Linked DNA regions of Macaca mulatta. The protein of the gene in region 2 interacts with the protein of the main gene of each other region in a pairwise test. Links are inferred from orthologs where the notes say so. Each region holds a gene or a part of one and is shown on either strand. Other genes may lie near its edges. The genes, in order: CCND2, CDK4 and CDKN2B.

Region 1 (3,747 bases), about 60 Mb from region 2:
TCCCCTACACACATGCATACACAATTGCAAGTGCGTCTCACCACCAGATCTCCTCGAGGATCTTATTCACAGATGTTGCCTCAGTGCTGGGCACGCAGCCTGACACATAGTAGGAACACAAAAAATATAGACTGTGGTTTCCTATTAAATGAGTTATTGCCCGTCAGTGTGTAAATTCTATTGGTGGGGTCATTTTGGATCCCAAGAATCCGCTCTGGAAGTGGTGAGAAGAAGGCATATTGTTGGCCAGGGGAAAGCGGGAATCGCAGAAAGGAAGGGAAGAAGGGGCCGGTCATTACCAGCAGCTCCTGAGGCTTGATGGAGTTGTCGGTGTAAATGCACAGCTTCTCCGCAGTCAGCGGGCTGGTCTCTTTGAGTTTGGAGGCCAGGAACATGCAGACAGCACCCAGGAGTTGCAGATGGGACTTTGGAGTCGGGACCCCAGCCAAGAAACGGTCCAGGTAATTCATGGCCAGAGGGAAGACCTCTTCTTCGCACTTCTGTTCCTCACAGACCTATAATGGGAGTGGGAGAGGGTTGGGGGGCGGGGGTGGAGAGCACAGCATCAGCAAAAGAGAAAAAGAATGAAAAAGCATAATCTATGGGAACAAAAAAATTTAATTTTTTGTGGGGAGGGGGAGGGGAGTAAAATGGGTGATAAGAATAAAGAACAAAGATGAGGAAACTGGGGTGAATCAGAATAGCCCATCGGTGCTTTGGTATTCCAGAGAGCCTATAAAAGGGGGTGAACTACAGCTCCAAAACGGGGAGTCGGGGAAGTGCGCAGCAGCCGCGGCAGCTCCGCGACGCTCCCTTTGGCTACTCCTTCGCGCACTCTAACTCACTCACTCTTTTTTGGATTTCGTCATCTTTTCAAAAAATCAATAAAAATATTCTGGAGGCTCCGGGGGTCCACTTCTTGGTCTCATCCGGATCCCCAGATCCTCCTCTATCATTCCCGACAATTGGAAAAAATGTCTGGGGGGGTCCCTGCGGCCCAGGGGCCGCTATTGGGGGGGCGGGTGGGGAGAGGTGGGGAAGAGAGGGGGAGGGAGGAGAGGAGGAAGAGCGCCGCAGCCTCGGCAGCTGGAGTCGGAGCGGGGGGGGACGGTTTCAAAAAATAATTAAAAATCGAGGAAATATCCTAGAAAAGCCCTTTTGGCGTGAAAACCCCAAAGAGGAGCCAGGCTTCCCGAAAGGGAGGTTTCGGGTGCCAGAAAGGTCTGTATTCCGACCCCTGGGGCTTTGGATCCCGGGAGGAAACTTGAAGGGGTGAGCGCCGCGGCGGGAGTGTCCGGCTGCGGCCCACAAGGACAGAAACTAGGGAACGTGGTGACGAGCTAGGGGAAAGACGGGAGCAGGGAGCCCTGGAAAGAGGCACGGGGGGCTCCAACCTCTCTTTTAGGGGTGACCCGATATCCCCCCTACACACACCCCCTCCCCCCCCTTCCTACCCCACCCAAATCTCCGCACCGAGGAAGCTGGAAAACCAAACTGTAAGTAACCTTCGTGAGGTGGGGGGTGGGGGAGAGGGCACGATTAAAAGTGGGGTGGCCGGGATAATGGGGTGCGAGGGTAAGCGGGCGACGTTTCCCAGCCTTTCCAAGGGAGTTTGCAAAGCAACATGGCGAAACCACGGCAGGTCCAGAGCTGTGCATACGTGGGCACACGGCTCACTGGGCAAAGACTTGGAGTGAGGGGCAAGAAGTGGTTCTTTTGGGTTCCCCCGAAACACACGTTTCTTCAATGGGACTTCCGGGGCTCCTGAATTCCCCGTTTCTCTCCTTCTCCCTCCTCCCTCCACCTCCCCCCTGAAGTGCCAGCGCGGAGTCGCGACCACATGCGGGGACCTGAGGCCAAGACGAATTTGCTCTGGCCTTTTGGGGGGCTGCCTTTCTACTTGGGGTCCCGATTTCAGGCCCCGACTCCCTTCCTGACCGCAGCGCCAGCAGCCGCGGCGGCTTCGCAAAAGACAGGTCGCGAGGGGGGTGGGAAGAAGAGGCAGCCACATGCAGACACACGCGCGCGGGATGCTCCCCCACCCCCGCCCAGGGCAGCCTCGCTTCTCCCAGATTTTCCTCCCCCCTCTCCCTCCCCAGTTTATCTGGAGAGGAACAGAAAAGAAGCCACGCGTCTCGCCAAAGGGCGCGCGGTGACCTCCCGCACAGGAGCCGAGAGGTCGGCGCGGGGATTGACCTCTCCCAGGTTTAGGGCTCCGGCCGGGGACCCGAGAATCCGGGAGGGGTCCTGGCTCCTAGCGAGCGCCGCCCGCCGACCTACCTCCAGCATCCAGGTGGCCACCATCCTGCGCATGTAGGGTTGGATGTCCTTCTGCACGCACTTGAAGTAGGAGCACTGCGGAAGGTAGCGCTCCTCGATGGTGAGCAGGTTCTGCAGGACGCGGTCGTCTTGGAGCAGGTTGCGGTCACGCACGGCCCTGCGGACCGGGTCCACCTCGCAGCACAGCAGCTCCATGGCCAGCCCGGCGACCCCTCTCTCCCCTGCTTTCTCCGGTCTGGAAAAGTGTTTTTCTCTTTTTGTTTTTTGGAAGGGGAGGGGAAAGGGTTCCCCTTACCTCCTTCCTTTGGCTAAATAGGGGGTTTTCGGGGGAGAGGTGAGAGCAGAGAGAGAAGGTGGAGCGGAAGAGAGGCGAGGATCGGGTGGTGGGCGAGCAGAGCCTCCGGGCTGCCCCACTCGCACCGGTCCTCCCCTTCAAACTGGTCTCGCTCTCCCCAGCTCGCTCTTCTCCGCTCTGAGGCGGTGACGCAAGCTGGCTGGGCAGTTAGCTCTCCTCCCTCTCCCCGCGCTCCCCGCTCTGGTTCCTCCTCCCCTTCCCTCCCCTCCCGGTCCTCCCCTCCTCCTTTCAATCTCTCCCTCCCTCCCTCCTTTTCCCCTCTCGTTATTAAGGAGAACAGCAGCTGGCCCGACCTAACTTCAAACGCAGTCCCCCGCCCCCCCACCCCTCTCCCTCCATCCAGCCCTGCATGCCAGGGGCCCCGGACAGGGCAACCCACAAAAAACTACCGATTCCTATTTCTGCCCTCTTAATTTCACTCATTCTGTAGGTGTAGCACGCCAAAATACGACCCTCCAACTTTGGCTTCTTCAAAACGGATCCTAATACTTCTGCCCTTGGATTTAAGATCCAGGAACGTAGGGTAGATTGTTTGAAGATGGGGTGACCTCGGACAATTTGGAAATAGTTCCCTTAAGTGAAAAATAAGGGAGGGGGTGATTTTAGAAAATAGCAACCTCGCATACTCAGAGATAAAGGTCATGTCCCTGAAGTTTGTGTTCCTGATAACTTCGAAGCTGTTCCAAAAGCCCCGATTAAAGGGACCAGAACAACGTCCCTTCTGCCCCCCTGCAGACTGTGGGCAGAGGAAAAAGAAGAAGGAGGGGTGCGTGTGAGGAAGGAAGGGGGATGCTTCTCTGGAGGGATAGAATGTGATCCTCGAGCAGAAACCATAGTGTTTCTGGGGGCCCTTGGGGCGCCGTGGGGCGACGCGGTGCAGCGCCTAGGGCCGCCGCAGGCCGGGGGCAGGGCTCCCAGCGGTTTCTCCGCGGCCAGCGGCCACGCAGGAAAAACCCGCTTCCTCGCCCCTGTATCTGCTGACAAGCCGCCCGAGGTGTCTGCGCTGAGCGTGGCCACACCGATACAGCTTTCTAGGAAATGGCCCGGGAGGGGGAGGGGGCGAGTGAGGGATTAGGTCTGGCTCCCCCTCGCTCCCCCTGCGCAAACACCAC
Region 2 (3,747 bases):
CAGCCTGGCGACAAGGCGAGACTCCGTCTCAAAAAAAAAAAAAAAGCCAGTCATGGTGGCATGCACCTATAGTTTCTGCTACTCAGGAGGCTGAGATGGGAGAATTGCTTGAGCCCAGGAGATAGAGGCTACAGTGAGCTGTAATTGGGCCATTGCACTCCAGCCTGGGTGACAGAGTGAAACCTTATTGCAAAAATAAATAAATAAATAAAAGAGAATAAAGGGATATGAAGTTCCTAATTCTAGAGCATTTCAGAGCTTTCTGCTATGGGCAAAGTAGTCAGTAGTATGCAAGTAAAAGAATGGGGCCAGGTCCAGTAGTTCACGCTTGTAATCCCAGCACTTTGGGAGATAGCGGTGGGAGGACTGCTTGAGTACAAGAGTTCAAGACCAGCCTGGGCAATATACTGAGACCCCCCCTCTCTACAGAAATATTAAAAAACTAGCTGGGCATGGAGTGTCAGCTACTTGGGAGGCTGAGATGGGAGGATCACTTGAGCCCAGGAGGTTGACACTGCAGTGAGCTGTGATCATGCCATTGCAATCCAGCCTGAGCAACAAAGCAAGCCCTGGTCTCAAAAAAAAAAAAAAAAAAAAAAAAAAGAGAAAAAGAAAGAATGGGCAGGGTGTGGACGTGGTTTATGAACAAGCAATTTGGGGAATTCAAGGTGGTCCAGGGTATGTGGGTCCCATACTTTCGACGAAACATCTCTGCAAAGATACAGCCAACACTCCACATGTCCACAGGTGTTGCATATGTGGACTGCAGAAGAACTTCGGGAGCTCGGTACCAGAGTGTAACAACCTAAAGAGAATAGGAAGAATGGATGGGGACTCCATGGGTTACCACAAAACACAACTTGCTTGACTGAACACACGAAGCACATGACTTCTCAATTGCTACAGGCAATCACTCTCCTACTCCCAACCAGAACCCATTTTGGTACCATCTTTCTACTGACCACGGGTGTAAGTGCCATCTGGTAGCTGTAGATTCTGGCCAGGCCAAAGTCAGCCAGCTTGACTGTTCCACCACTTGTCACCAGAATGTTCTCTGGCTTCAGATCTCGGTGAACGATGCAATTTGCATGAAGGAAATCTAGGCCTCTTAGAAACTGGCGCATCAAATCCTAGTTTAGAAGGGGGAGGTACAGATGCACTGGAAACTAGGCACACCATACCTGAAATCCCAGGAGGTTTTACTACAAAGGTCCCAATCCACCTCTCAATGCCTACCAACCCCACTCACCTTGATGGTCTCGGCTGGCAAGCCTGGTGGGGGTGCTTTGTCCAGATACGTCCTTAGGTCTTGGTCTACATGCTCAAACACCAGGGTTACCTTGATCTCCCGGTCAGTTCGGGATGTGGCACAGACGTCCATCAGCCTGGCCAGAGTAAATGCTCACTTTTCAATCCCCTTTAACCCAACATGGCCTCTCATTATTTCCTCAGGGTCCCCACTTCTCTACAGATCACCACACCCCACCTATAGGCTGTCTTTTCCCTTTACTCCCCACTCCCCTCGTCACCACCTTCTCACCGGACTACATTGGGATGTTCAAAAGCCTCCAGTCGCCTCAGTAAGGCCACCTCCCGAACTGTGCTGATGGGAAGGCCTCCTCCAGCTCCTCCTCCATTGGGGACTCTCACACTCTTGAGGGCCACAAAGTGGCCACTGTGGGGATCACGGGCCTTGTACACTGTCCCATAGGCACCGACACCAATTTCAGCCACTGGCTCATATCGAGAGGTAGCCATTCTCAGATCAAGGGCGACCCTACAATCACAGACTCCTATCACCAAAAGTCCCTTACAGAATTAGCATGGTATGAGCCTGCAGCAACAAAAGGACTCCCAAAAAAAAGCACAAAGAGCAACACTAGCATCCCATCCCCCGCTCGCAGCCTTCCTTGGGGCCGGCCCCAGAGATAACACAATGACTCAATACCAACCCCTCCAGCCACGTGAGGCCCTGCAATAAAAAACGCATTTTCCTTTGGGACAATCGCGCCCTGCACAAAGATCACACATGACACATGCCTTGCATCAAAGATCCTACACCTCAGTCCCTAAAATTATACTTTCCCATGACCACAAAGGCCCCACTTCCCGCCCTTGAGCGACCCCTCCATAACCAGCTCGAGAAACGAACGCGTGGAAAACTGTGAGGGGGGCGGGCACTGGTTCTCATTCCCGGGAAGGGACTGCACTTACCTCACGCCAGGCCGGGGTGCTGCGGGGGCGGCCCGTTATCGGGGCCCCGGAGCTGGTTCCTACGGCCCCATACACCCAAGCTCGGTCCGGGGCAGCTGGACGCAGAGGGCCCGACCATAGACACAGGCCGCAAGCTAGAGAGGCCCCCTCACCCCCACCCTCACCATGTGACCAGCTGCCAAAGAGGCGCGCGGAAACTGGGAGGGCGGGGCGAACGCCGGACGTTCTGGGCACGTGACTGCCACCCATGCGCGGAGGGGTGGCCAGGAGCCGCTTTGACGGGGAGGAGGGCGAAGAGTGTAAGGGGGCGGAGGGGCGATGGTAGCCACGTGATCTGTTGCTATCACACGTGACCGCTTGACATTGCTCTGAGGAGCAGAGGTGTGGTTACGCGGCGGGCACATGACTGGCTGCCACAACCCCCGCCGCGGGGGGGCGCGGTAAGGGGACAAGAGAGGGTGGAGCCCGAGGCGGTGCCATGGCAACCTAGGCCACCCAGAGCCCAACTCCCGGCTGAAGGATTGTCTCACTACCGGTCTGAAGGCTGAACTCCAGTCTCACTACCGGTCTTTCAGCCTGTCTACATTGGGGAGGGAATGGGAGTTGGGGTACCAGAGGTGATGCTGTCACCTTTTCGCTCCACCATGATAAAACATACTCTCATTTGTGTCATTGATTCATTCATTAATTCTACAACATTTTACTGAGTGCTTGCTTCCAGTGTGTATGTGGGTTTTTATTTTGTTTTGTTTCTGGTGTCTGTCACTGGCCCTTTAAAGTAGTGGTACGACTATCTAGAAAGATGTAGCCAACAATGGGGTCTTCTAAAATAGGGAGTAAACAATGCCCATTTGAGGGCAAAACTACGATTAAAGGACGGACAGAAGGCAGATTAATACAGTAATCCAACAGGTTCAGTGACAAGGTAATGCCCCCTCTTTTCTCAACTTCCAAATCTCCCTGGGAGTGTTAATGCAAAGACCTGAGGCCATCTGGCAGAGAAGTTATTAATGAGCAGGAGACAGGAATACTTGACCTTTAAGTTTTTTTTTTCCCCAGTAGGACGGTTCTATGATTATGTGATATTTTTATATGTGTATATATACTTCTATGTATATATGTATGTATATATTATTTATTACATGTAATATATAAGATGGATACAGGAGTGTACATGTGCAAGAAAGTTACCACCACACCCCCTGCACCCTCCAGACCACCACAATGAATGAAAATGACATGTCTCCTTCTGTAAACCTTGTGACTGCTCATTTGGAGTCATTGTGCTTCCCTCTTTTTCCCTAGTGCCTCTTTCTTAGCACTTAGCGGTGTCCAGAACACACTTTTTCCCAAATGGCCTCTGCCCACAGACACCGAGGTAGACGTAGGTAGATTTCTCCTACTTTCTTTGTTTTATTGGCTCCAAGGTCTTCATGTCCTAGCCCTTTGAGGGTATGGGAGTAAAGGAGGAAAGCGGTTAGTGTCTCATTTGTGAGAATTTGTGTAAAATCTAAAGCCATTTTATTACCCTAT
Region 3 (3,747 bases), on a different chromosome or scaffold from region 2:
GAGAAAATAAACAATTAAGTTTCTTTTTTCTTCCTTTCTTTTTAAAATTTATTTAGTTCTCATAGCAAATCCTGTGTGGAAGGCTTTTGTTTGTCATGTGTCTGTGCTCATAACTGGATTGTACTGTGATAATTTGAGCCAAAGTTGGAGATTAGAAGGGAAAAGTAAATTAAATCATGCAAAATCTTATAAAATTACAAGAATAAATGATTTTTCCTTAATAAACAGTTCATCATTTTTATTTTAGAGTATAACATTTTTAATGTAACATAAAACTAACTATATATACTACAGGATTTTATAATAGCTAAGATTTAAAAACGTTAAACAGTAAATATTTTGCTGTATAAAAAGAGCTTGGGCCAGGCACAGTGGCTTATGCTTGTAATTCCAGCACTTTGGGAGGCCAAAGTGGGCAGATCACCTGAGGTCAGGAGTTCGAGACCAGCCTGGCCAATATGGTGAAATCCCGTCTGTACTACAATAAATAAATAAATAAATAAGATGGGCATGGTGGGGCGTGCCTGAAGTCCCAGCAACTCAGGAGGCTGAGGCAGGAGAATCACTTGCACCCTGAAAGCAGAGGTTGCAGTGAGCTGAGATCACACCAGTGCACTCCAGCCTGGCTGACAAAGTGAGGCCTCGTCTCAAATAAATAAATAAATAAATAAATAAATAAATAGAGCTTGGATGTTAGCAATCAGGATGATGCATAACTTAGAAAAAAATGATGTTTTGCAGGAGTAATCCTGTAGCAGCCGTTTGTGAACATGAACATTATGAAAACATTTGCTGTCATATTTTAAGTTAATTATAAGACAATTTTTGGTAACAAATGTCTAAAATTGAGTTATTTGTTATGGGTTTATGTACTTTAAAATATACCATTTAATTGAAAGGCAGTATACTTCTCATGTTTTGTCAGCTTGTTTCATTAATATTAGAAATGTTCATTTCATCTCTTGAAAACCATAAGTTATATCTACTAGTGATGTAAGGATAGTTTACATAGAAAAAAGAGGGGAAAATAGCTGTTCTTAGTATTTCAGAAAATGGTGAATTACATATATAACTTGTTTTATAATTATTAATAGAATTTTAAGTTTTTAAGAAGCACTTTACAATAGTTTTGCTCCTTTAAAAATCCCTTATTTGTTATACCACTATTCTAAGAATTCAAAAGAAATGAACACTTCTTTAAAATCTACACTATTAACAAGATTCCTTAATATTAGCTTAGTTTTGGAGGGTGATAGTGAGGTGAATACTGAATATGGCCAATAGCCAACAGTAAAGTACAAAAGCATTGTCCTAGATTGTAAAATAAATTAAAAATATCAGTACTAATTAAAGCAGGATTCGTAAACATTGAATAAGTGTATTTTAACGATGAAGATAAGGATGCATTATTTATGAAGATCCTTTGCCATTCAAAAAGGACCTAACAGTTGCTGCAGGAATATTTTTGTAATCTGGGCACTGAGTATGATAATTAAAGAATGAGAAACCTATAGAACTATATATTTTTTCTCTTATGCATCACTCATAAGACACTGCTAACATAAAAGGAACTAAGTGCTGTGGCTGAGGATTCCGGTCTCATTCCTTTGAATTCAATTAGCCTCCATGAGAAAACAATACAACAGATTTCATATAGTAGCTTAAAAGTTTACACTGATTTTTTTCCATGTACTATGATTTTGTAGAATTCCTTAAATCCAATCCAGAATGTGTAACTTATAGTTTACTTATCTTTATCGTTGAAAGCAAACAGACAAGATAATCGTCCTCCCTAAATAACCTTTCCTTTTCGCCTTTTCTCCCCAATTCAATCTATTCCTTGCATCTCTGATGATGAGATGGCAGAACAAAAACCACTAGAAAAGCTTAAACAGTGGATTTTTCAATGTCTCTCTTTAGAATTTTTGCTGGATAAAAGCTTGTTTTACGCCTGGGCTGCACACCTCCGGCCAAGGGAGACTGCTATACAAATCTACATCGGCGATCTTGATTCCAGCCCCGACCCGCCGAGGCCGCGCCCCGCGTTCGCGCGCCCCCTGCCGGCGAGGCCCTGGGGCCCCAGCTACCTGGATCGCGCGCCTCCCGAAGCGGTTGACTCCGTTGGGATCCGCGCCGGCTTCCAGGAGCTGTCGCACCTTCTCCACTAGTCCCCGCGCCGCGGCGCTGGTCAGGCCCTCATCGCTGCCGCCTCCACTGGGCATGCCCTTGTTCTCCTCGCGCATTCCGCAGTCCCCAGACGCGCAGAGGCCCGGATAATCCACCGTTGGCCGTAAACTTAACGACACTCCTCCCTTCTTTCCCACGCTGCTCCGGCGCACTCTCTCCTTCCTAGAAGAGCTGGGCTCAGCTTCATTACCCTCCCGCCGTCCTTCTGCGGCTTGGGGCCCCGTGCAATGGTCGAGCCGCCGGTAGTTAGCTCCGGGCTTTTCCTGGCGCTCAAGAACTAGCGGGCGCTCCTGGATTGCTTCTGGGGAAAAGCGCCTAGCGCGGCCGCAGCTGAGCTCAAAGCGGCTCTGGCCGCAGGGTGCGGACGCGTCGCGGAGTCCTCACTACCCCGCCTCGCTCTGGCAGAGTGGGGAGCCAGCCGGCAAAGAATTCCGTTTTCAGCTGGGCCAAGGGGCCGGCCTCTCCCCACCCCCTTAGGCTCCGCCCCCTGTCCGCTGTGCTCGCCGGGAGGCCAGGCCCCGGCCGACGCGTCACGAGGGAGGGGAAGCCTGCCCAAAGGTGCTGAGACGCATGCGCCAGAGACTGGGCCAGGGAGCCGCCAGGAATGCCGGCTGGACTGCTCGCTGGATGTCCGGTAAAGCCAAGGCTAATATTTTGGGAATGTTGACCCACTACCCTCAGCAACTAATCCCCAGTAGGCGGAGCAGAGGATTTCTGTTCCTTCAGCCTTATGCCAGTTGGTTTCACTGTGGAGACGTTAGTGGCTCCCTTGTGGCCGAGAGAAAGGCATTGAAAATAACTCTGTCTTTCTTAAGATGTCTGAGAGCGACAGCTCTGCACCTGTCATACAAGTTAAATTCATCCCTAGGCAGTACTTGAACTTCACAAGTTTCATATCTTGTGTCAACCTTAGCGGTTTTCTCTTGGATGTGTCTTTCTATTTGAATTTGTCAACCATAAAAATAGAGAAAAATCCCGAGAATCATGTTTTGCATGTGCTTTTTAATTCTTTCCATGTTTGCATTATGGATACAACCCTTAAAAGAGAGAGAGAGAGAGAGAGAGAGAGAGAGAAAACTAGTTCGAGATTGAGAGTGGCAACCTAGCACACAAGACAAAAAAAAATTGTGCTTTAAGAATCTGAGATCCCAGTTTCATCATATTTGCACAGTAAATCTTTGCACTCTTACCTATTTAAACCCACTTTGTCAAGTATTTTATTTTTATTTATCATGAGTAATAAAGGAAATTTATGCAGTAATAATGAAACATAAGAGAGGGGTGTGGTGCTGGGCTTGTCATTAAACAGGCTGAACCTGTCATTAAATTCTCTTCTGAAGATTTAAATGCCAAGTGCTTTTATTTTCTTTCTAATCTTCCTGGGTGAGTTTGAATCAACATTTATTACTTTAAATATTTAAAACATTTCAGCGGATGCTACATTGGATAGGAAGAGAACCACAAGTTATGGATTTGTTGCCTAAAAACTTTGGTGAGGAACTACATAAGTGGACCTCTCCTAAAAGTGAACAATTTTTATTTACAGAATCATTTTGGTTC

What was found.
Region 1: the proteins of CDK4 (region 2) and CCND2 interact in binary tests that used the Homo sapiens proteins (3 or more experiments, as listed by UniProt). The link is inferred for Macaca mulatta from reciprocal best matches to the Homo sapiens genes CDK4 and CCND2.
Region 3: the proteins of CDK4 (region 2) and CDKN2B interact in binary tests that used the Homo sapiens proteins (3 or more experiments, as listed by UniProt). The link is inferred for Macaca mulatta from reciprocal best matches to the Homo sapiens genes CDK4 and CDKN2B.

The regions. Positions count from the first base shown.
Region 1 is NC_133416.1:5,167,654-5,171,400, reverse strand, and holds the start of CCND2 (G1/S-specific cyclin-D2), read right to left. Parts: upstream 2,755-3,747; 5' UTR 2,476-2,754; coding exon 2,281-2,475; intron 516-2,280; coding exon 300-515; intron 1-299. UniProt on the Homo sapiens protein: Regulatory component of the cyclin D2-CDK4 (DC) complex that phosphorylates and inhibits members of the retinoblastoma (RB) protein family including RB1 and regulates the cell-cycle during G(1)/S transition.
Region 2 is NC_133416.1:64,929,459-64,933,205, forward strand, and holds the start of CDK4 (cyclin-dependent kinase 4), read right to left. Parts: upstream 2,371-3,747; 5' UTR 2,215-2,370; intron 1,778-2,214; 5' UTR 1,759-1,777; coding exon 1,541-1,758; intron 1,386-1,540; coding exon 1,250-1,385; intron 1,131-1,249; coding exon 963-1,130; intron 806-962; coding exon 696-805; intron 1-695.
Region 3 is NC_133420.1:77,206,437-77,210,183, reverse strand, and holds the start of CDKN2B (cyclin-dependent kinase 4 inhibitor B), read right to left. Parts: upstream 2,525-3,747; 5' UTR 2,244-2,524; coding exon 2,088-2,243; intron 1-2,087. UniProt on the Homo sapiens protein: Interacts strongly with CDK4 and CDK6. Potent inhibitor. Potential effector of TGF-beta induced cell cycle arrest.